Schizosaccharomyces pombe: one gene and its partners. The protein of the gene in region 3 binds, or shares a complex with, the protein of the main gene of each other region. Each region holds a gene or a part of one and is shown on either strand. Other genes may lie near its edges. The genes, in order: rsm10, mug178, mrp21 and mrp4.

The links.
Region 1: mrp21 (region 3) and rsm10 share a complex: the UniProt entries of both Schizosaccharomyces pombe proteins name them as parts of the mitochondrial small ribosomal subunit.
Region 2: mrp21 (region 3) and mug178 share a complex: the UniProt entries of both Schizosaccharomyces pombe proteins name them as parts of the mitochondrial small ribosomal subunit.
Region 4: mrp21 (region 3) and mrp4 share a complex: the UniProt entries of both Schizosaccharomyces pombe proteins name them as parts of the mitochondrial small ribosomal subunit.

The regions. Positions count from the first base shown.
Region 1 is NC_003423.3:3,867,588-3,874,376, forward strand, and holds rsm10 (mitochondrial 37S ribosomal protein uS10m), read left to right. Parts: upstream 1-2,580; 5' UTR 2,581-2,705; coding exon 2,706-2,785; intron 2,786-2,851; coding exon 2,852-3,458; 3' UTR 3,459-3,620; coding exon of another isoform or gene 3,621-5,177; 3' UTR 5,178-5,233; downstream 5,234-6,789. Other genes in the region: mri1 (methylthioribose-1-phosphate isomerase), read right to left, coding at 1-1,014; protein Cwf3, read right to left, coding at 3,621-5,177, 5,236-6,051. UniProt on the Schizosaccharomyces pombe protein: Component of the mitochondrial ribosome (mitoribosome), a dedicated translation machinery responsible for the synthesis of mitochondrial genome-encoded proteins, including at least some of the essential transmembrane subunits of the mitochondrial respiratory chain.
Region 2 is NC_003423.3:3,445,200-3,450,892, forward strand, and holds mug178 (mitochondrial 37S ribosomal protein bS1m), read right to left. Parts: upstream 3,026-5,693; 5' UTR 2,692-3,025; coding exon 2,014-2,691; 3' UTR 1,317-2,013; downstream 1-1,316. Other genes in the region: AP-2 adaptor complex subunit Apl1, read right to left, coding at 1-262, 307-425, 470-715, 769-814, 852-1,060, 1,107-1,133; ade9 (trifunctional formate-tetrahydrofolate ligase/methenyltetrahydrofolate cyclohydrolase/methylenetetrahydrofolate dehydrogenase), read left to right, coding at 3,768-3,904, 4,172-5,693. UniProt on the Schizosaccharomyces pombe protein: Component of the mitochondrial ribosome (mitoribosome), a dedicated translation machinery responsible for the synthesis of mitochondrial genome-encoded proteins, including at least some of the essential transmembrane subunits of the mitochondrial respiratory chain.
Region 3 is NC_003423.3:615,656-620,418, forward strand, and holds mrp21 (mitochondrial 37S ribosomal protein bS21m), read right to left. Parts: upstream 2,519-4,763; 5' UTR 2,484-2,518; coding exon 2,408-2,483; intron 2,314-2,407; coding exon 2,024-2,313; 3' UTR 1,536-2,023; downstream 1-1,535. Other genes in the region: its8 (pig-N family GPI synthesis protein), read right to left, coding at 1-508, 661-811; U1 snRNP-associated protein Usp107, read left to right, coding at 2,699-2,717, 2,767-4,604, 4,654-4,763. UniProt on the Schizosaccharomyces pombe protein: Component of the mitochondrial ribosome (mitoribosome), a dedicated translation machinery responsible for the synthesis of mitochondrial genome-encoded proteins, including at least some of the essential transmembrane subunits of the mitochondrial respiratory chain.
Region 4 is NC_003424.3:3,064,308-3,069,031, forward strand, and holds mrp4 (mitochondrial 37S ribosomal protein uS2m), read right to left. Parts: upstream 1,960-4,724; 5' UTR 1,903-1,959; coding exon 1,111-1,902; 3' UTR 1,019-1,110; downstream 1-1,018. Other genes in the region: SPOM_SPAC24C9.09 (threonine--tRNA (Thr) ligase), read left to right, coding at 1-884; sgd1 (ribosome small subunit biogenesis protein), read left to right, coding at 2,281-2,350, 2,400-4,063, 4,107-4,427, 4,475-4,724. UniProt on the Schizosaccharomyces pombe protein: Component of the mitochondrial ribosome (mitoribosome), a dedicated translation machinery responsible for the synthesis of mitochondrial genome-encoded proteins, including at least some of the essential transmembrane subunits of the mitochondrial respiratory chain.

The DNA of each region.
Region 1 (6,789 bases), 3.3 Mb from region 3:
TATTAAATTAGCAGGTGTAACGTCGAAAGCTGGGGAATACACGTCAATCCCAGGAGCAGCAATAGAAATTCGAACACGCTTTGGATCCTCTAGATTTCGGCTGTTAGAGTCTGTGATTATGGGGCCTGTAATCGTGGTCATTTCAATCGGAGGTCGCTGTTCAATGGTAATCTGAGAACCAGACGCTAAACTAGTGTCAATTGAAGAAAAGGGAGCAGCCACTATGAAAGGCTTTCCAAAGTGTTTTGCCAAAATAGCAAGATTATATGTGCCAATCTTGTTTGCAGTATCGCCATTACGAGTAACGCGGTCGGCGCCGACGACAATGGCATCGATTTTGTGCATAATTGAAGCAACCGTGGAATCTGTGACTAGAGTTGCTGGAATTTTATCATGAACCAACTCAAAAGCAGTGAGACGAGAGCCTTGGTTATAAGGGCGAGTTTCTGTACAATAAGCGTGTTCCAAGTTCCCCGATTCGTGTAAACTACGAATGATCCCCAAAGCTGTACCATAACCTGAGGTAGCTAAAGATCCAGTGTTGCAATGGGTCAAAACGGTGAGCTTGTCTTTATCTTTGTAATGCTGCAACAAGAATTTTCGGCCAGCAGTTCCAATATTGTGGTTGTCTTCTAAATCTTTTACTAGCATACGCTCCGCTTCCTGAATAATTTTATTTCGACAATTTTTTCCTTCTTGAAGAGCAATGCCTTGCATAAACTTTGCAGTTTCAAAAAGATTGACAGCGGTAGGACGAGACTGTTTGAGATGCTCAAAGCTATTTATAACATATTCTTTTGCATCTGCATCTTCAGAAAGATGTTTTAATCCGACAGCCACACTCAAAGCTGCTACAATAGCAATAGCTGGGGCCCCACGAACTTGCATTTTTTTTATGACAGCGAATGCGTCTTCTACATTACTAACTGAAATGTATTTACGCTCGTACGGAAGAAGTAATTGGTCTAATACAAGAAGCTTGTCCTCATTATAAATGATTGCTTGCAACGACATTCTGCCCAAATTTTTGAATATCTCTGCCTTTGAAAACTTTTACTTCACTAGCGCACGAACGCACATGCATCAGATAAAATTAAAGGATTTGATGAAGCTCGTAGCGATGCATTAATAGAAATAATGAATTAATATAAAGTTACACTGTGTAGTTTACTTAGGAACAAAAAATAGTACATTAAGTTTAATATAAATTTATAAGAAGAGTTAACGCAGTCTTTCGTACTTTTGACACTGCTTATAGATAGATAAAATTAGCAACCCTAACTTAATATTGTGCTTCTTATTTATCCGCACTATTTGATATGCATCTAACATTTTGAACGCGTAAACAAAAAATTTAGACTCATTCAAAGATGTAAGTTCCATCGTCAAATTATATTACCAAGTTATTTTGATAATGAGTATGGTGCCTTGAATTATAGATTAAAAAATGTATCACCGAATTTATTTTTAATAATGAGTCGATCTGACATATTAGAATCAAGGAATAATAATATGCATTGATGTTTTATGAAGGAATTACAGCTGTAGAACCTATGTATACAAACTTCAAACTTTTAAAGATGAGAACGATATATTTTTTTCGTTTTCCAGAAAAGCCATGCTTGAAGTATTTATCAAGATGTTCGGTAGTGTCAATTTAATAATCATATGTGCGACTTTGACTTTGACATGCAGCAAGAAGTTGTTGACACCAACCTATCTGCTTGAAAAGTGATACTCGTTTGCAATACTTAAATATATATATATATATATCAGTGATCGCAAGTCAGTTTTGAATGCAGGATTGGTAAACAAGGGTCGCAAGTTAATATATTTATATAGCTGTCTGCTGTAACAGTTTAACATACAACCTTGAAACTGTAAAACATTGAATATTTTTCATTGTTAAAGCCAATTTAAATGAGAACGATTATTGTGTTACGAGGTAAGCATTTAATTCCAAAATCCCTATGTATTCTTGTAGTATAAAGTAATTTGAATGACAAATCAGTAGATTCTTCCATAATTGCAAGTAGGATGCCAGTCCCAAACCTTTAATTCCTAGCTCAAAAGCACAATTGTTCAGTTCACACTTTTGTTAACTTCCGGAATTTGTTATTGTAAAATAATTGTCTCCTCATAATTTTAAAAAATTACATCTCATTGCTGACTGAGAACTCTCATCATACTGGTCAATTTTAAATTGTGCTGAAAGCCTTATAATCACAAATATTCATGTTTAATCGAATTTTTTTGGTTTTCTTCACTATGGTGCATCAATAATATTTTTAGTACAGTACAATCACACCCACCTTTGAATTCTAAACTTTGACCTTCAAATGCAAATAAAAAATTTATAGTTAGATCGTTCCATCATAGTATAAATTACAGAATGATATTGCTTTTTTAAAATAAATGTTACCATCTACGTGTTTTTCAAGGTATTCACGCGCGAACGACATTTAAAATGATTTCGCTCCGCTTGTTTATGTTCAATTAAAACATTGATTAATAACCCCTTAGTCCTACGATAATTGTGTTAAACTGAATATGATGGTGGATGACAAGTGTAGCTCGACCATTACTCCCCACTCCAACCAAAAAATTTTGTTAAAAAAAAACACCTTTACAGTGTTTAATTGTTGGAATTTTGTTCTTGTGGTTTTCTTAACAAGTATTTTAAGTAACCGGCTAAAATATTAATCATGAAACGGTATATGTTTGGTACATTACCTCGCGTGCAACCGAAACGTTGTTTCCAGACAGCTATTGGCAAAGAATCACCGTATGTATTCAATCCTTTCCTCTAATTTAAGCTATAATTTTGTACATTCTAACCCCAATTTATTAGCAAAGGGAACAGCGAAAAGGATCAACTTTTTGAGAATCCATTTTTTCAACAGCTTCCTTCCAACGTTGCAGCTGTATATTTGAACCCTGTTAAATTCAATCCTTCTGAAAACGACGTACTTTGTGCTTCTCTAAAAATTAAAAGCTTTGAAACTCCAAAACTTGATACGTTTACCGACTTCATTTGTCGAACAGCGTATTACATGAAAATTCCAATCAAGGGTCCACGTCCATTACCCAACAAAGTAGAAAGCTGGACTTTACTCCGATCACCTTTTATTCACAAATCTTCTCAGGAGAATTTTGAACGTATTACGCACTCTCGACTTATACAACTGTACAGTGTCAATCCAGTTACTTTAGAAACGTTTTTTAGTTATTTACGAAAATGCAACATGTGGGATTTAAAATTGCAAGCAAAAGCTTATGAATACGAATCCATCGATGATGCCCTTAAAAACTTCGAGTCACAGTCTAAGTCTACTGATAATTTCAAAGAATTGTTAAACGGTCCTTCGAAAAAAGATATAATCACACAAAATGCCGAAAAATTGCTCAGAAACGACCCCATTTACAAAGATTTGTTAAAAAATTCATCTCGAAAATAAAAATTAACTAATGTGTTTTCAATTACTCTGATGTTGGACCGTTTATTAGCAAAAATACTCTGACTGTATTCGTACTTTTTTTTTTAACAATATGACACTAGCTTTTCTTCATTAAAAGTGTTCTTTAACTAAAAACGTTACGAATAGTCCACACTTGTTTCGTTAGTTTTCCTCACCAGTAATTTTTGAAGTTTCTTGGGGATTGCTTTTCGAAAGAACAAAACCCGCAAGTGCCTTAGGTCCTTCAGATTTTTCCATTTCAAGCTGTTCCATTGGATCCATTGGTGCTGCTGCACTTTCAATTTTAGCTGCTCTCTTCGCTATATGAAGGGAATCAGTGCTAAACTTAGTTTGTACAGACCGTTTAATACGAAGCATTTCTTTAACTGTTTCTTCTGGATTTCCGTACCTTATTTCAAATTCTTGCCATGCTTTCCAATAATCCGTTTCAACTCTTGGATCACAGTATTGACTTCCATGAATATATATTAAACGAGCACGATCGATTTCACCAAGTTTCGTCTCCATTTCAGCAAACCTTAAGCACATATCTTTGACTTCTGAGTCACTCAGGGATTCAATAGCCTTCTCATAAACTGTCCTTGTCGCCAGTACACCATAATTTAATGCCACTTTAACGAGTAACACATTGTAAATAGCAAGACGGTCTGCTGTTTTAACCTTGTCGGCCGCTTTTTCTAAAATAGAAATGGATCTTTTTGCTTTGCCAAACTTTTCTTCGAAATCGGCATACAGAAGATAAATACTTTTCGAAAATTCGGGCGGACATCCTTCTAATGCTTGTTCAAATAAATCCCTGGTCCTTTCCATATGCGTTCCTTGATATCGTTTAACAAATTTTGTTAAATATAAATTCCAAAGTTCAAAAGCCACGGGATAACTAAATAACGCAACACCTCTCTCATAAATTTTAAATGAATCTTCAAAATAAGCATTCTCCTCTAAGAGATTTGCATAATTGACAACCACCTGGGGAGTAGCAATTTTTAGTTCAAAGACGCGGTCGTACAATTTGCGTGTAGTTTCAATCGTACCAACGCTTTCCTCAAGATCAAGATAATACATCCATATCTTAGATGACTTGTGTAGCCGTACTTGTGGACTGAGTGATTCATCAAAAAAGCTGATATGACTTTTTCTAGGAGCATGAACGGCATCTCCTATTAATTTTCTCGCAGCGTCAAAATTTTGATGTCGAAGTTCCATCTCGGCCCAGTCAATCCAAACTTGTGCTAACTCATTGACTGTTTTATATGGTACATGAGTAGCCTTTTCAAAAATTATCCTTGATTGTTCTAAATCATCAAAATTTTCATAAAAACGAGCAAACTCTGAAAACAATTTGCCGAGGGAGCCATGCGCCAGCTTTGGATTTACATTTTTTATAGCGTCTGTGTAAACTTGAACAACTTTTTCGCTGTCGTCTTCTAAAAACTTGACTCGGCGAAGCCATTCGTCAACGTTATTTATATTTTGCCTTAATAATACATCATTGATATAAAGCGGACGTTTGTCAAGTATTTTCTCGAGCCAGGCCATATGAAAATCGATACTTAATTCGTCATTTGCATTTCCGCTGCTTGCTTCAACTCGTGCAGATAGCCATTGCTCTTCGAATTCAACAAAAGCATCGAATATAATTGTAAAATTTCTTACAGTCATTATGTTATTCATCCCTTCATAGAATGTGCTTCTTGCCTGTACGATAAGTTAGTTTTTGCAATAAGGGGTCAATAAACAAACCAGTTAAACATACCTTCTCGTAGTCACCAATGCGTATATAATATTGTGCCAAATAAGTCCATAGTTTCCCTGCTTGATCAGAAAACCTTTTAATGCCAGCTCTAAAAACCTTTTCTACGTCTATGTTTTGCGTATGGTCAGGATGCTGAACAACTAACTCGGAAAACTCGAGCCATATCTGATAATTGCTCTTCCTTTTTGCTGATAAAAACACGGGCCGATTTAAAATATCCTCATATTGTCGAGCAGCTTCATTCCACAGCCCTAATTTACAAAGTATCTCAATGTAGTTTTCAATTGCTCTTGGTTCTACTTGTATATATCTGCGGTAGACATGGATGCAAAATAATCCTCCAATATCTTCAGCATATTTCGTAAACATGTCCCAAATATCATCGTGCTGAGTTACCGGTAAGGCGCGAAGTGCAGAGTTAAATGTACAACGAATCTTAGTGACATTTGGTTGTTTCATCAAAAATTGTAAATATAGTTTCCAAATAACAGGCATTTTATGCAATAAAATCAAAGAGCGCTCAAAACAATCGTTTACAGAAGCAAAAGCTTCGGCATGAAAATATGGGTTCAAATGTTCAACATGCGCTACACGTAGTTCCAAATAGCTTTTCCATATTTTATAGCTTCCCGGGAGTTCTGAACAAGCTCTTTCAAATAAAAGCACACGCTTTTCCAAAGTAGATCCTTCATGGGTCTTTATATATCGTAACCAACTTTTCAGAGAATATGGATCACGTAGCAATTCAAGCTCAAACGGCTCGTCATCAACATTAATTAGATCAAAATTAACTTTCAGTGGAATAACATCTCCCATTTCTAATCCTTTTGATTGTTTTCTAAAGAAGCCCGATGTAGGCTGTTGTCGTGCATACAATAGACCTTGGGCAAGTGAAAAATATGAAGTTCAATTTTAACCCCATAAGATGAAACTTAATTGAGAAAGCACATTGCTTATAAGATATAAAACAAATAAATTACAGAATTAAAAGACTGTCTATATGCCCACCTCTAGGGAATTAAGCCAAAGTATGTTGATAAATCAGAGCTACAAAATACAGCCCTTCGATTTCTATTTCATTTGTTGTAAATCACTATCCATAACGACCTTCTGCTATTTAACTACCCTTATCAGTAAACCTCTTCTGTACTTCGAATTTATTCATTGATTGCTATATTCAAATTATATTTATACGAAACGCAAAATCGCTTCACCTGGTAGATATAAAGCTAATAGTGGTGCTAATGTGACTTTTGGTCATAAAAATTAACGAGTATTCAAACTAGTTATCACTAATTAGGAGCGGCAAAAACACTAATTGTACATATAATCAGCTTACAAAAATCACATCGAAATGCCTAAATCCTTGACTAATTGTTTGCAATATATACTATAAACAAAGAAACAATCAATACTAAGACAAACTCCAAATTAATACACGAACATATATATTTGATTTATCTATTTCAAAACACAAGCAAATGCAGTAAGCCTATTAACACAATCAGATAATAGAGAGTTTCTTGGTATCAGGTTGTCTTCAAGCTTTTCTCA
Region 2 (5,693 bases), 2.8 Mb from region 3:
CAGAATTACATATTGTGTTGCAGATGATTTTCTAGCTAGCAATGTGACAAGAGGAGGTTGGGTCTTCATAAAGTATTCTTTAACTCGATTGTCATCTTTCATGTAATTAGTTAAATAAAGAATAACCTTTACAGCCCCCATGCACACAGCTGCATTGCCGTGTTGTAACCAAGGACTAATACGTTCAGCGAAGCTTTCGGCCTCGCCAGGCTTTTGGGGAACATAAAAAATTAAAGCATCCAAAATGGCAACTTGCAGCCACCTGAATTATTAGTATAAATTTATACAGCGAGGTTAAAAACATACTCCGAACAATCAGTGAGGCTCTTAACAAGTTTATTAGATATTTCCCTACTGAATGTGAGTTTAAATCCAGTAGATGAATTTACGATATTCATTAAAGCGGCTAAAGAGTTGGCAACAACCTGATATAAAAAAATTAGTAAGGTAATAGAATCGTATAACTTACAACCGAAGATTCATCACTAAGCATTTCTTTCAAATGATCGATTAATCCTGATGACTCCACCATTTTTTTATCATAGGAGTACAATTTTGCAATCCCAATGGCTGCAGTTTTTCGAACGTAAGGATCTGTATCATCTAATAACCTTACAATTGGATCCATAGCAGCAACCCAAAAGTTTTTGATGTTTACCGATGTCAATGTTCTTAAAGCTAAGGACCTAATCATAGGGTTGGAAGAATAAATGTCCTAAAAGAGGTTAACATCCATCATCATAAGAGATGTACAAATTAGAAAATTACATTCAAAATAAGTTTAACAGCTCTCTTCGCCTCTGTGGGTTTCACGCTGTCAATTAGTAAAAAATAAAGAAACTTTTACAAACCTCGCGTAAATTTTCAAGTACAAATAGCATAGTTTTTTTAATTCTAGATTATTAGATTCCATAGAAGATATCACCGATGGAAACAGTGAACTCATATCATATCCATAAGATATGCCTGCAATTGCTTTCTTTAAAGCAGAAATTCGTTTGTTTGCAGATTTGTCCTTATTATCTGAGCTGAAGACTGCTAGCAAATCAGCAGCGGTAGACTTTTGTTTAAGTTAGTAATTCCGAATTTTATGAAAGTTAAATTACCGAAAAATGACTTGAACTACTCGACATTATAACAACATGCTATGTACGTGTTAACATTCAAAATGTATTGTGGTATAATACTGAGTGTTATTGTACAAAGCAAAATAACGAGTTACAGTAAAATGCTTGAATAAAAGATTGTACGAAGAAAAGAAAAATAATGATTGCTAATAAAACACGATTTTATCTCTTAGTAGGTACTAGAGTAACTGGGTAATTAAGAAGCAAATTCAAAAGACGTTTACAAAGTTTATCGGATTTACAATTTAATACACTGTCGGGAAGCGTTGATTGATATAAGCTTATTAATTTATTTATGCAAATTTTTTAGCACGTGCGTACATAATATAAACCAAACAGAGTTCAATATAAACGGACACCCTTAGGAACATCGTAGGTTTCCAGTAATGCGATACGGCCATAACGAAAATTACAAGAACCAAAATAAGTTAAAATCACTCAAAAAACAAACAATAAAAATTCAATCTTTTTTAAACAAGAATGGTGGGAATAATAAACAAGCTTGTTGACAATATTATTTCCTAGAAAAAGTAATAGGTGTATAGAATCTCTCCATGAACAAAAAGAGGGAGAAAAAAGCGGTTCACTACAATGCAAAATAACGGTTAAAAATATTTAATGATCTTAAAGGCATATCATGATAGCTCAAGGAGAAAGTAGTCCGTGCAATTAATTTCCCTAACTCAAAAACTCAGGATCGTAAGCAGATGAAATAAATGTTAAATATGGATGGATCTTCATAATAGACGATTATCAACAGACGAAAACAATATTAAGAAACAATTCCTTGAAAGAAAAGCTATTGTTTTAAGAAAACCGAAGTGACTCACGGGAGAAATAATCGTTTTACTGTTTTTTATTGTCAATGTCAACTTGTATTATGGTATTAAATACTCCTATTTTCTCGTGTGATATTTGGAATGGTTTTACCGGTTTCATCGACATTAAGAGATCGAATTACGTATCGATTTTTTGTTGAAGTAATTCCTTTGAGAGAAGTAGCAGCTATAACTCCTGAGACACCAAATAAACATTCTTTAGAGTCGGGTGCAAATTTTCCGTAAGTAAATGGTAACGGGACTTTTTTAGTTTGAATAAAGGATACTAAACTTAGGCGCTTCTTTTCAGAATCAGAAAAAGAATCTAAAAGTTTCAATTTGGCGTATAATATACCTGGTGGAAGTGTAGGTCTGGATTTAGGATTTGAGCTTGAGAAAGTGTTGTATTTCTGTAAAAGGTAAGGGGAAATTTGTTCATAATCATTAAGCGGAACAGGGAGCTTAAGGTCGTAAATTCGTTTCAAGGTGCGTACGAATCTGTCACTGCTGATGAAGGCACACTGATGCTCGAATGTGTCAAACTTTTGTATGGAAATATGACGGTTTTTTAGGATCGGTAACTTCCTCTTAGCTCCCCAATCGCCGCGAAATCTTTGGCATTTCTTCGCAGTAATTGCTTGTAGGATGGGAATCTTCGTATCATAGACATCAGGGGAGTTCCTCGGCAAGTCTGGTCTTGCTAAACTAACTGCTCGGGAGCATCTCAACAAATCAGGAAACTTCATTATAATTTTGATTAAAGATATACTTTGTCAGAAACATCCAAATTCTGCCCAATGTAAACCACCACCGAAAAGTAACTGCTGAACGAAAGTGGGTACTTCTAATGAGTCAATATTGTCAATATCAATAGCAATCACTCAGAAAACACACGAATACGACTGTAATTTTTTGATGCCAGCTATTTATATACTTTTGTCGTGCAATCCAGCTTGCGAAGTGTTTTACATCAAGTGTGCACACTCATGAAAAGTATATACGAGATGAAATTCTCTCTATTAATATACAAAATTATGGCCAATGTTACAATAGCTAGTTTGAAGTTATAGAATCGCTTTCGTTAGGAGGTCATGTCGGCATGTTGTGTAGTAAACGTTCACTCTCCTCAAGTAGCAATGTTACTTGACTCGCACACTGTTGGATAGAGAAACAGAGTGCTTTAATTGTTTACACTCGAGTAAACCATGACTGAGTACGATTTTAGCTTGTACTTATTAAATTTAACGGGAATTTTTTTTATAATTATAAATTAGTAATACTAAAGGTATGGCTATCATAAGAAAAGTGAAACTTATAAAGGTTAACTTTCGGTAAATTTGTGTGTTCTTCCTTGTTCATTAATGAGTTTATCTCTACTAAACTAAACTATATGATTTTTCTAGTCTAAGTTTATTTACTGATAATTAATGAGTTGCTTGTCAGATCGTTTGTTGTTTATATTTGTCTATTATATTTGATCTTGAGATTCTGTATATCATGTAACAGATTTTTAAACTTTTTCTTTGACTATTTGTGTGCTTATTAGCTATCTCAAAGGCTTAGGTATATTATTACTTGTTCAATACATTATGATTTGCAATAATGCAATTGTTCCAGTCACTATTCGAGCTTGAAGAATAAATTATACGAGAATGAATACATTGCTTTAATACAATCGCTATTAAAATGTTTCGGTTCATATTCTACTGTAAGCGTATTATTCAACATAGATTACCTGACTACCAATAAAAATTTTGCTTTAACACACCACCAGAGGACAGGCAGGTTCCCTTACTACCCTACCACTTCTGGGTGTCTTTCTATGAACGTAATGGTTTCGTTTAATCAATTACGAAACTATTTTCTAGAAAGCAACAGCTTACGGCCATCGAAATGGCTTTTTCAGTCGTATGGTACTTCAAGTTCTGCGAATATCCTAAATGGAAAATTATTGGCAAGGTAAGATAAAGTTTATATTCTAAATTTTCTCTATGCAGATGAGCGTGCATTTCTGTGTTTGTCTTTGACGATAAAATTTTGGTGGTTTGAAAATTGATTTGCGTACATTGCTTAATTCCGTATATTCTTCAATTTTTTTGTCGATACTTAGAAGTTAAAAAATTGTATTGGGCATTGCAGCACGTTTGAGGTTTCATCAGATTTTTTTGCTCTTAAAACTTTATATTTTTATTTCTCTTTGAGGTTACTAATGTAGCGACTAATTAGAAAATTACAACGTTCTGTTGCTGAAGAAGTGCAGGCCTTGAAAGCTAAGGATCGAAACTTTAAGCCGGCGCTTGCCATTGTACAGGTTGGAAAACGTGAGGATTCTAACGTGTACGTTCGAATGAAAGAAAAGGCGGCACGATTAGTTGGTATTGATTTTAAATACTGCCCGTTTCCTGAAACAATCCAAATGCCTGCCTTGCTTCATGAATTAAAAAAATTGAATGACGATCATACGGTTCACGGTGTCCTTGTCCAACTTCCTCTTCCCAAGCATCTCAATGAGCGTACAGTTACTGAATCTATCACTCCGCCGAAAGACGTTGATGGATTTGGTGCATTTAACATTGGTTTATTGGCAAAGAATGATGCTACCCCCATTCATTATCCCTGTACCCCGAAAGGTATTATGGAGTTATTAAAAGATAACAAGATTTCAGTCGCTGGATTGAACGCTGTAGTTCTGGGAAGAAGTGACATTGTCGGAAATCCAATTAGCTACTTGTTGAGAAAGGACAATGCTACAGTAACTGTCTGTCATTCTAAAACTAAAGATTTAATTCAGCACATTTCTAATGCTGATTTGGTTATAGCAGCATTAGGCAAACCCGAATTTGTTCGTGGTGAATGGTTGAAACCAGGATCTGTTGTGGTAGATGTTGGCATAAACGCTGTTCAAAGAAATGGAAAACGCGTTTTGGTTGGCGATGTGCATTTCGAATCTGCATCCAAAGTTGCTAGCAGCATTACTCCTGTCCCTGGAGGCGTCGGACCGATGACTGTTGCTATGCTAATGGAAAATATTGTAAACGCTGCCAAGATAGCTAGAACAGAAAACATTTATCGAAAAATTGACTTAAATCCTTTAGAGTTAAAGAAGCCTGTTCCTTCTGATATCGAAATTGCTAATTCCCAAGAACCTAAATTAATTAGCAATCTTGCTAAGGAGATGGGTATCTATGACACAGAGTTAGAAAATTATGGGAACTATAAGGCAAAAGTAAATCTTGCTGTTTATGAACGTTTAAAGCACCGAAAAGATGGGAACTATGTTGTTGTAAGTGGTATTACTCCTACACCTTTTGGCGAAGGTAAAAGTACAGTTGTTGCTGGTTTGGTTCAAGCTATGGGCCATTTGGGTAAGCTTGGAATTGCTTGTGTCCGTCAGCCGTCCCAAGGGCCGACATTTGGTGTTAAAGGAGGCGCCGCTGGTGGAGGCTACGCACAATTTATTCCTATGGATGACTTTAACCTTCATATGACTGGAGATATACACGCTGTTACCGCAGCAAATAATCTTTTAGTCGCGGCTCTTGAAACTAGGATGTTTCATGAAAACACACAATCTGATGCTGCCCTTATAAAACGTTTGATCCCTGTTAAAAACGGGCGAAGAGTCATTCCACGAGGATTGATCGGTAGGTGGAATCGTATTTGCGCATCTCATAACATGGATCCAGAAGATGTTAATAACGCATCACCGGAATTACTGAAAGAGTTTGTGCGGCTAAACGTAGATCCT
Region 3 (4,763 bases):
TCAATGCCCAGTAAATGAAGGAAGAATACTATTTTATCCCGATGCAACATATCCCAAAGTTCCTTATCCTCTAAAGACTGAGCGAGAAGTTCATCTAGCCTATCAAAAACCCATTCGTCAAGAACAATTCCGTTGCTAGAGAAATCCTCCAATTCAGAAGAATACATGAATGTATCAACTCGAGATGGATCAGATGCACCTTCACTAAACATAGGCAAAATATCTTCGGATCCAAACGAATAAGTATGCCGACTCTGATTAAACACAGAATCGAAATTTACTGGATTTTTTTTCCAGCCTTTTGTGACGGCTGAAACATCTTCGTAAAAACCAGCTATTAGAGCAACATGTCCGGGGCGTGACTCGGTGGGAACACGAGTATGAGAAACACCGAAAGTACCGTTATTCTGAATAATTGATCTTAAAAATGGAGCGGCATATGTCTGCTCTTCTCCAATGACCTTTTCGGAATGTGGTTGTAATAGTTTATCAGGACGTAGTCCATCGCCTATAAGCATATTGGTTAGTAAAATAAGAAAAAGAAGGACAAGAAAAAAGTTGTACTATTTCTTGTTTTTTTTTCTAAATCCAAAACGAAAATATGACATTTTTTTCATTAAGCTCTATACACTAATTTCACTATTACAAATGTTTACTTACCAACAATTAGAAATAGGCGTTTAGCAGGAGCTTCGCCTGCAGAATACTGCTTCATGCCATGTATTAGAGGAGTTACGAAATAGATATCAAAAATGGATTTGAGAAAGACGACATGGAATAAAATCCCTAACAGCAAGAGGCGACCAAACATTGCGAAAATTTAAGCGTGAAACCACTACCACAATTGACTGGGAATACTAGGGGTTTTTGGCAAAAATTGGATAGATGCCAGGACGCTTCTTGGAAAAGAAGGATGCCCTAAACAAGGCAAGAAGTGTTTTGTTCTGGTGAAGTGCGTTTGAGTGTTGAGTCGTTACAAACATCAACAGAAGTCCCCTTTAATCTACCATTGGTTAAAATTCAGATGATCTACGCTCGATCTAATGAATAAGCGAACGCTAATGAATGTATACTGAGTTTTGTAATTAAGGATGCCGTGTTTGAATGCACTAATGAATAGTGGTAGCGCTCCATCGTATATTGTGAGCTATGGCCAATATGCGTAATTAGTTCTAGCTGGATGAAAGAGTAAATAATCAGAAATCTATTAAGGAAGTGATAAATTACTTTATGGTATGCAGTGCACAATAATGGGACTTATAGTCATCTGGTAATTAAGCAAAAAATGATTCTGTAAATGGATATTTTCGGTATTATTTTAATTTCCGTTGACAGAAATGTAAAATGGATGGTTATCATTTCATTGCTCAAATCCAAGATTAATGAAAATTCAGCGGTAAGCATATTTGGTTGTTACACGTTGAGAGTCGGTTTACTCATGACGATTATAATAAGATAAAGGGATACAACCATCAAATTGCTGCTACATGGCCAATAATAAAAAAATCATTTGCAATACGAAAGGAAACGAATTCATTTATTATAACATGCAGAAGTAATAACTTCCTGCGACCAGCATTAGTTTGAATAAATAGAGTAACAAACTCATCGATTTAACTAAGAAAATTGTTATAGGCTAGCAAAACAGAATAGTAATATTAGAGGGTAATGCAAACATTAAGCTCAATCTCGCAGTATTGTCAAACTGAAAAGATAAAAGAAGGTAGAGACAGTTATTAGACAATAAATCCTGTTAAGTAGAAAATCATAAGATAGGGGAGGGGTTAAGCAAAGATACCAGGAAAAATTTAGAAATGACAAAACAAAAAACGAATATTTCCCAAAAATGTCTAGCTCTTAAATCCGCGGAGAAGTAAAAAGCAATATATTATTTTACTTCAAAAGGGGGTTTTCGAGCATTCTCGTCTTAAATGAAAAGCTATGAGAACAACGATCTCCAAATACATTAATTTAATATGGATTTTCGTAACCAAGAAATAGAATGAAATGTTCGAAGAATCACTCAATAACCCCAACGACGCATGTTCTTTGCTAAGTTTACAAGTCGAACAATTCCAGCGCGGAACCTTGCCCTGTGTCTTTCTGAACGAACGCGGGATCGCTTTTCGGATGGTTTTTCATAAAATCTCTGTGAACGGAATAGCCTTGGCACATTATTCCTTTGACATATTCTATCAACTTGTCGAAATGCTCTTGTTAGACTATTTCCAACTGTCACACTTGCACCTAAATCTTTTGTTTCTGCTGCGGGTATCATAAAATGAAGCGAATCTTGGAACGCACCATGCTCCTCTAAATATCAATAAAGTATTAGCAGACAATAATCCAACAATCGAAAATCATATTCTTGAAAGACAATAGCAACTTCAATGGATTTTCTTCGTACCTTTTCTCTTTTGCAATTTCCTATTTGTATGTACCCATCTGACCCCTAGAACACCTGGGAAATAAGAACTGTTCATTTTAAATAGTTATTTTGCGTTTTCTTGGCAATTTGAGAAGCCTGAATCTCACCGCAGTACAACTGCATAAAGAATTCGTTAAATTGCCTTGAACATCGATTTTTTGCATTAGCGTAAAAGACATAAAATTCATAAACTAAAAATAGGATAATCACATTTACACTTCACTATATACCTTTACATGATACACATGAATCTGTTTTCCTCCAACAACTATGCAGCGGCAGAATACGCGTAAGTAATTTCAATTTCATTGCTAAAGAATTTATCTAATTTTATTTAGAGGCTGCCGGTATGCCAATGATGCCACAGGTTCCTATGGTTGGCAACGGCGTTCCATATGTCGTCCCAATCCAACCTGTATTCGCCCCTTTACCTCCTGATTACAGGAGCTTATACAAAAAATTGTATGGCCAAGGCGCTTTTTTGGTAGATAATCCTGTTGAGGCAAGTAGTCCCTATGATTTTTCGCAGCCAATTCTGAAGTTTGGTAAACTTCCCATAAAACAAGTTTTAAGAGATAATGAATCGCAACAAAAAGATAGAAAAAACTTACCCCGAAATCAAAAAAGTAATGAGATTCAGGAGAAACAGACGTTTCAAACACCTTCTTCAGAGAAGTCTACAACAGAAAGGGAATCGCGGCCGTTTGTCCCTCCAAATAGTCAACAAATGCGGCGGATGCTCTTTATTGGTAATATACCGAAAGAATTGGATGATTTTTGGATGGATAAAATTCTTCGATTGTCCGGGAAGCTGGCTTCTTGGCGAAGGGTTGCTGATGCAGATAACTCGATGACTTCGTTTGGATTTGCAGAGTTTGAATCAAATGAACAATTCAGTAGAGCATTAGAAGCATTAAATGATTTTGTTGTTCCACCTTTGTACGAAGGTGGTCCTTCAACTCGCTTGTCATTGATTACAGATGTTGAGAATGAGGGATTGTATCGTGAATGGCAAACGAGTCGTTATGCAAGAAATAAGCAGAAAGAGATAAACATTTTACAGCAAATTCGCTTTAACCTCGAAAGAATTTGTCAAGATATAGGCAATTTTGATGTCCGTTCTCGCATTGAAAGGGCAGCTCGACAGGCCCGAGAGAAAAACGAAAAATTACTACAAAATGTCAAAACTTCGGAAATTCCCATTAATGCTGCTGATTTAGAAGGAATTAATCCTGAATTATTACCGGTTATTGAAGAAGAAATACGATCCTTTCGCGATCAATCTGCTATGAAAAAACGAGAAAAACAAAGGTCTAAGGACGAGTATGCCAGTTTATATAAAGAGTATACACGAAAAGAACAAGAAAAGCTTCGAAAGCAAAATGATGATTTACAAAACCTTTTGTCAAAACATCGTATTTCACGTATCCCTATGTCTACAGTCAATGCCTTTTTAAGAGCAGAAGATAGCATTCCCGAGTCGTTCTCCGATGAACAAGCTTATTATGAAGAGAAGAGAAGGAAGGATCAATTGGAGGCTGAAGAGTATTACGCAAGGGAACGGCGCTGGATGAATCGTGAAAAGGCCCGAACTGCAGCTTTAGAACGAGAAGCTGCTCGTGAAGAAGAAGAACGTGTTAATAACACTTCCTTTGGTACTTATCTTTCGGAAAAATTAGCTTCTTTTGATGACGATGAGGAAGCTCGCGTATCTCGAGACGAATATTTTGTCGATCGTGCTGCTTGGATTAGACATCGTGCAGTTGCTCGTGCTCGAGAAGAAGACGCAGATGCTCTTGACAGAAAGGAGGAAGAAAGAGAACTACGTACCCGTGGAGAAGGTGCAACCGTTGAGACAGAGAATTATGTCGAAAATGGTAAGCTGGTGACTAGTGAAATGCCTCAACATGAAAATGGTCCCTTCAAAATCAAAATACAAACCAAGAAACCAGCTGTTCCTTCTGAAAGACGAGAATTTGGACTTCCGGAGAGACTGCTTTTGGAAGAAGAAGACGAAGAACCGCAAGGCTATTCTCCCAACCCTCAAAAACCAAAGCCTGCTATGGAAGAAAATGATGCCGAGAAGACGAAAAGACTTCGTTCACTTATTGAAAAGATACCTGTTGAAGCAGAAAGTCTGTGGGCACTACCAATTGACTGGAGCAAGGTTACTGAGGTTTGTGATTTTTTCAACTTTTATATGTATCTAAACTAACACATTATAGGATCTTCTAAAAGAAGAAATGCAAGCTTTTGTTACCAAGAAAATTATCGAGTATATCGGTATTCAAGAGGATTCACTTATCACATTTACCATTGATCATATCAGGCAACA
Region 4 (4,724 bases), on a different chromosome or scaffold from region 3:
GCGCACTTTCTGGACTAACTAGATTAAGATGCTTTCATCAAGATGATGGTCATATCTTTTGTTCACCCGAGAGCATAAAAGACGAGATAAAAAATACTCTCACTTTTGTGAAGCAAGTTTATTCTTTATTGGGAATGAACAAACTAAAACTATACCTTAGCACCCGACCTGAAGAGCATATCGGTTCTTTAGATACATGGAATGAAGCAGAAAACGGGTTGCGAGAGGCTTTACAAGAAAGTGGTGAAACGTGGATCATCAATGAAGGAGATGGTGCTTTTTACGGTCCTAAGATCGATGTAATGGTTGCAGATGCTCGTGGAAAGTGGCATCAAACGGCAACTATTCAATTAGATTTTAATTTACCTCAACGATTTAAATTATATTATCGCACAGATGCGGGAGACAATGCCGGGTCTGAGAAACTCATTAAACAACCTGTAATGATTCATCGTGCTATATTTGGATCCTTAGAGCGCTTTATGGGAATCCTTATCGAGCATTTAAATGGACACTGGCCATTTTGGCTAAGTCCTAGACATGCTGTCATTTTACCAGTCAATCAAACAGATCGAATTCTAACTTATGCTAAGCAAGTACAAAAGGAATTGTCTAATCAGGAAGTCAATGAATCTGAATTTCTCCCACTCAATAAAAATACCTATTATGTGGACATAAACGCTGAAGCACAATCTATTGGCAAACGGCTACGTGAATCAAGACTTTTAAATTATAATTATGAAATTGTCATTGGAGAAGACGAAGTTGACAAAGAAATTCTCAGTGTATCTAGTAGACACAATCATAATTCAAGGGATACTAGAAAGATGACTATTCAACAATTGAAAAAAGAGTTTATAGAAAATGTGAAAGCATACCGATGATTTCCTTTCGCACAGCAAAATATGTCTGTCTTTAACAAAAATTTTGGCATCAAATCATTGAAATGTGATATATACGTTATCCATAATAATTTATTCTTTCTTTTTAACCTTTCGTTTACGAATCATTAATTTTATTGAATACTAGTGAAAATTAATCAGACCTTATCTTTAATCATGTTTAGAAAAATCAAAGAATACAGGCATTTTCAAAACAATGAGAGGGGAATCATAAAGGAAGTGTAAATTTATCTTTTTCGAAGGCTTGGTTAGCTTTTTGGTACTCTTGCTCAGCTACCCTACTCAGTAAACCAGCTATTAAATCTGTACACCGTAAAGAATCATCATTTGCTGGAATAGGATAGGTAACCATCCTTGGATCCGCATCAGTATCAATGATTCCAATTGTTGGAACATGAGTTTTCTGTGCCTCTAGACAAGCACTTTTGTTTTCTAATGGGTTTAGTATAACCATCAAATCAGGAAAGACATAACTTGGTTTTTTATCAGTTTGAATCAATTTCCCTCTATTATCTTTACATAAAATTGAACCGCCAAGCTTTCCTTGTACTTCTCTGGCATTGGTGAGAAGTCCTGGTAGCCAACGATCAAATATGTGATAACCTCTAGCACGTTTGGCAGCAGCAACGACAGAATCTTTCTGGCCGTTTCTGGTGCCAATGAACAATATAATTCCATTTTCTTTAGCTATTGATCTAACGACGGATATAGCTCTTCGTAGGTAAACCATGGTTTGATCCAATGATATTATGTGAATACCTTCTCTTTTACCATATATAAAGGGCTGCGTGTAAGGATTCCATATGGATGTAGAGTGTCCTAAATGAGCACCAGAAGACAACAATAAAGGAAGACTAAGTTGACTAGGAGGTGCCGGATTTCGAATGGATAATGTCGGTGAATAATGGGGAGCTACAACTGCACCTATTTTGTGATTCCAGTCACGTATTTTTAAACGACGAGCTACAAGTTGCTCCGGTGATAATTTCCGTGAAAGCATAATACAGACACGAATGACTCGAGCAAAATGAAAGCCCGTTTGGTGTAGTAGTACTTTAAGACTTTGAAATCGCTGCACGATTGCAACATTTCCACTTCGATATGCTTTATTAGTGTGATACTACATAGAGCGTTAATGTAAAATACAGCAGCAGAGTGACAACTTTAAATAGCATTAACAAATTGCGATATTGTATACAGTTCCATTAGCAGTGTTGTGAAATTCATTTGAAACGATACGCCAACTCGAGACTGAGGCCCAATTCTTCTCTTTGTAAAGCAATTATACCAGTTTTTGGTATCGTTTAATTGAAAAATTTGGTAGTTCTTGAGCTTTAGTATTAATTATCGTTTGTTTAATATTTAAACATTCGATAGTATGAGGCCAATTAAAAAAAGCAGAAGCTTAAAACTGCCCAAAAGTATTTTAGAAGAGATAGGAGAATCTGGTAAGCTTTTTTTTATAGATTTGGTCAGTATATTTAACCAAATTGATAGATTCGAGTGCTAGGCGGGGAAAGCGAAATCATAATCTACCTCATCGTGAAAAAAGAAAATTTGCTAGGATCTCTCGAGGAAAAAATGGTTATGAAAACCGGAAGATTACAGAAGAAGGTGATAGTAAGTCTTCTGAACTTAATGATGATTACTTAGATGCTCACAGAAAGTCATCTACAAAAAAAAAATCTTCACAGAATAAACAGGCAAAGGAGAGTAAATTACTCGATCCCATTGCTTTTCAGCATAAGATTGCTTTGGAAGAGGATGATCGTGAAATCGCTCATTTAGAAAAGATGCTTGGCATCAAAAGCAAAGATAAATCTGCTCACTCAAAAATTGACAAGGAATTTGGATGGCTTTTAGAAGACCTAGATCAAGAAATTGATGACATAGGCGTTCCGGGCACTGAAGATCCTTCATATGGTCATTCAGAAGACTCTGAAGTTTCAGACGATACAGGTGACCATGGTAGCGTTGATGAGTTGGAAAGTGAAAGGGAAGGAAATTCGGGTGAGGAGGAGGAAGAGTTTCATGGGTTTGAGTCTAATTCTGATGAATTCCATCAACCTGAAACTAAGCCGATTCGGATGGATCCTTTGAAGCCTGCAGTCCCATCCTTACCTAATGCGAACGTCGGCTCAAAGTATGTCCCTCCATCTTTACGGAAAAAATTAGGGGGAGATAAGGAGTCAGAAGATGCTCTGCGACTTCGTCGGAAATTACAAGGATCGCTAAACAAATTGTCTATCGCAAATATTTCTTCAATTATTAAGGAGATTGAAGTCCTTTACATGGAAAATTCAAGACACTCAGTCACGTCTACCATCACCAATTTGCTACTACAAACCGTAATGGGAAGAGAATCTATGCTAGATCAATTGGCCATAGTATATGCTGCGTTAGCCACTGCTCTTTACCGCATTGTAGGCAATGACTTTGGTGCTCATCTATTGCAAACCCTAGTGGAACGTTTTTTGCAGCTTTATAAATCAAAAGAGAAAGAACCTCTTTCTTCCCATAAGGAGACTTCTAACTTGATTGTATTTTTTGTTGAGTTGTATAATTTTCAACTTGTTTCATGTGTTCTTGTTTATGATTTGATTCGCCTTTTTTTACGCTCTTTAACCGAATTGAACGTTGAAATGCTGCTCAAAATTGTCCTCAATTGTGGAGGGCAGTTGCGATCAGATGACCCGACGTCTCTCCAAGATATTGTTACGGAAATGAATTTGTTATTAGCTTCAGCTGATCCATCAACCATATCTGTCCGTACAAAGTTTATGGTAGAATCGATCACTAATCTTAAAGAAAACAAAAAAACAAAAGTTGCCAATGCTAGCGCCCAATCTAAATTTGAAGCTGTAAATCAGCTAAAGAAATTTTTGGGTTCGTTAGGCAACCGCTCATTAAATGCTAGAGAGCCTTTACGAGTTACTTTAGAAGATATTGAGCAGATTGAGACGAAAGGTCGATGGTGGCTTGTTGGAGCTTCTTGGAATAATGTTCCATCTGGTGACAACACATTATCTACTGAAGCATTACAGGATAAGAAAAAATCAGAAGAACTGACGGCCCATTCAAAAATTTTACAAGCTGCTAAGAAGTTAAGATTGAATTCAACTCTTCGAACTTCGATATTCGTTGCCCTTGTTGGTTCAGAGGTATTCGTTCTAAATTTCATTAACTTTAAACTAACAAACTTAGGACTACATTGATGCATGGGAAAGAGTGCTGAAGTTGCATCTCAAAAGGAATCAATTACCTGAAATAGCTTATGTAATTTTGCATTGCGTTGGTAATGAGAAATTGTATAACCCGTTTTATGGTTTGGTAGCGTTAAAATGTTGTACATTGCAGCACAATTTGAAAAAGTCATTTCAATTCTCTCTTTGGGATTTCTTTAATGAACTACAACCAGATGATGATAGTGAAGAAAGAGAAATATCCATGAGACGCATAGTTAACTTGGCGAAGCTTTATGCGTCTTTAGTCATTGAAGCTGCACAGCCCTTAACTATCCTCAAAGTACGTATATTCTAAAAATTTGATTGTAATTACTAACTCAATTTTAGCATGTGGATTTTATGGCCATTAATGCCCAAATGCAAACGTTTTTACTGGTCTTTTTTACCGATATAATTTTGGGAGTTAAAGACGATTTACAACTCGTAAAAATATTTGAAAACTGCAAAGCAGAGAAAAACCTTTCATCGAAAGTGGATTGGTTCTTAAAAACTTATGTTCGGAAAAATCCTTTAGTGGATAATTCTAAAAAAGCTCTGTTCAAGTCTAATCTTGCGATGGCTAGCGCCATTTTACAGA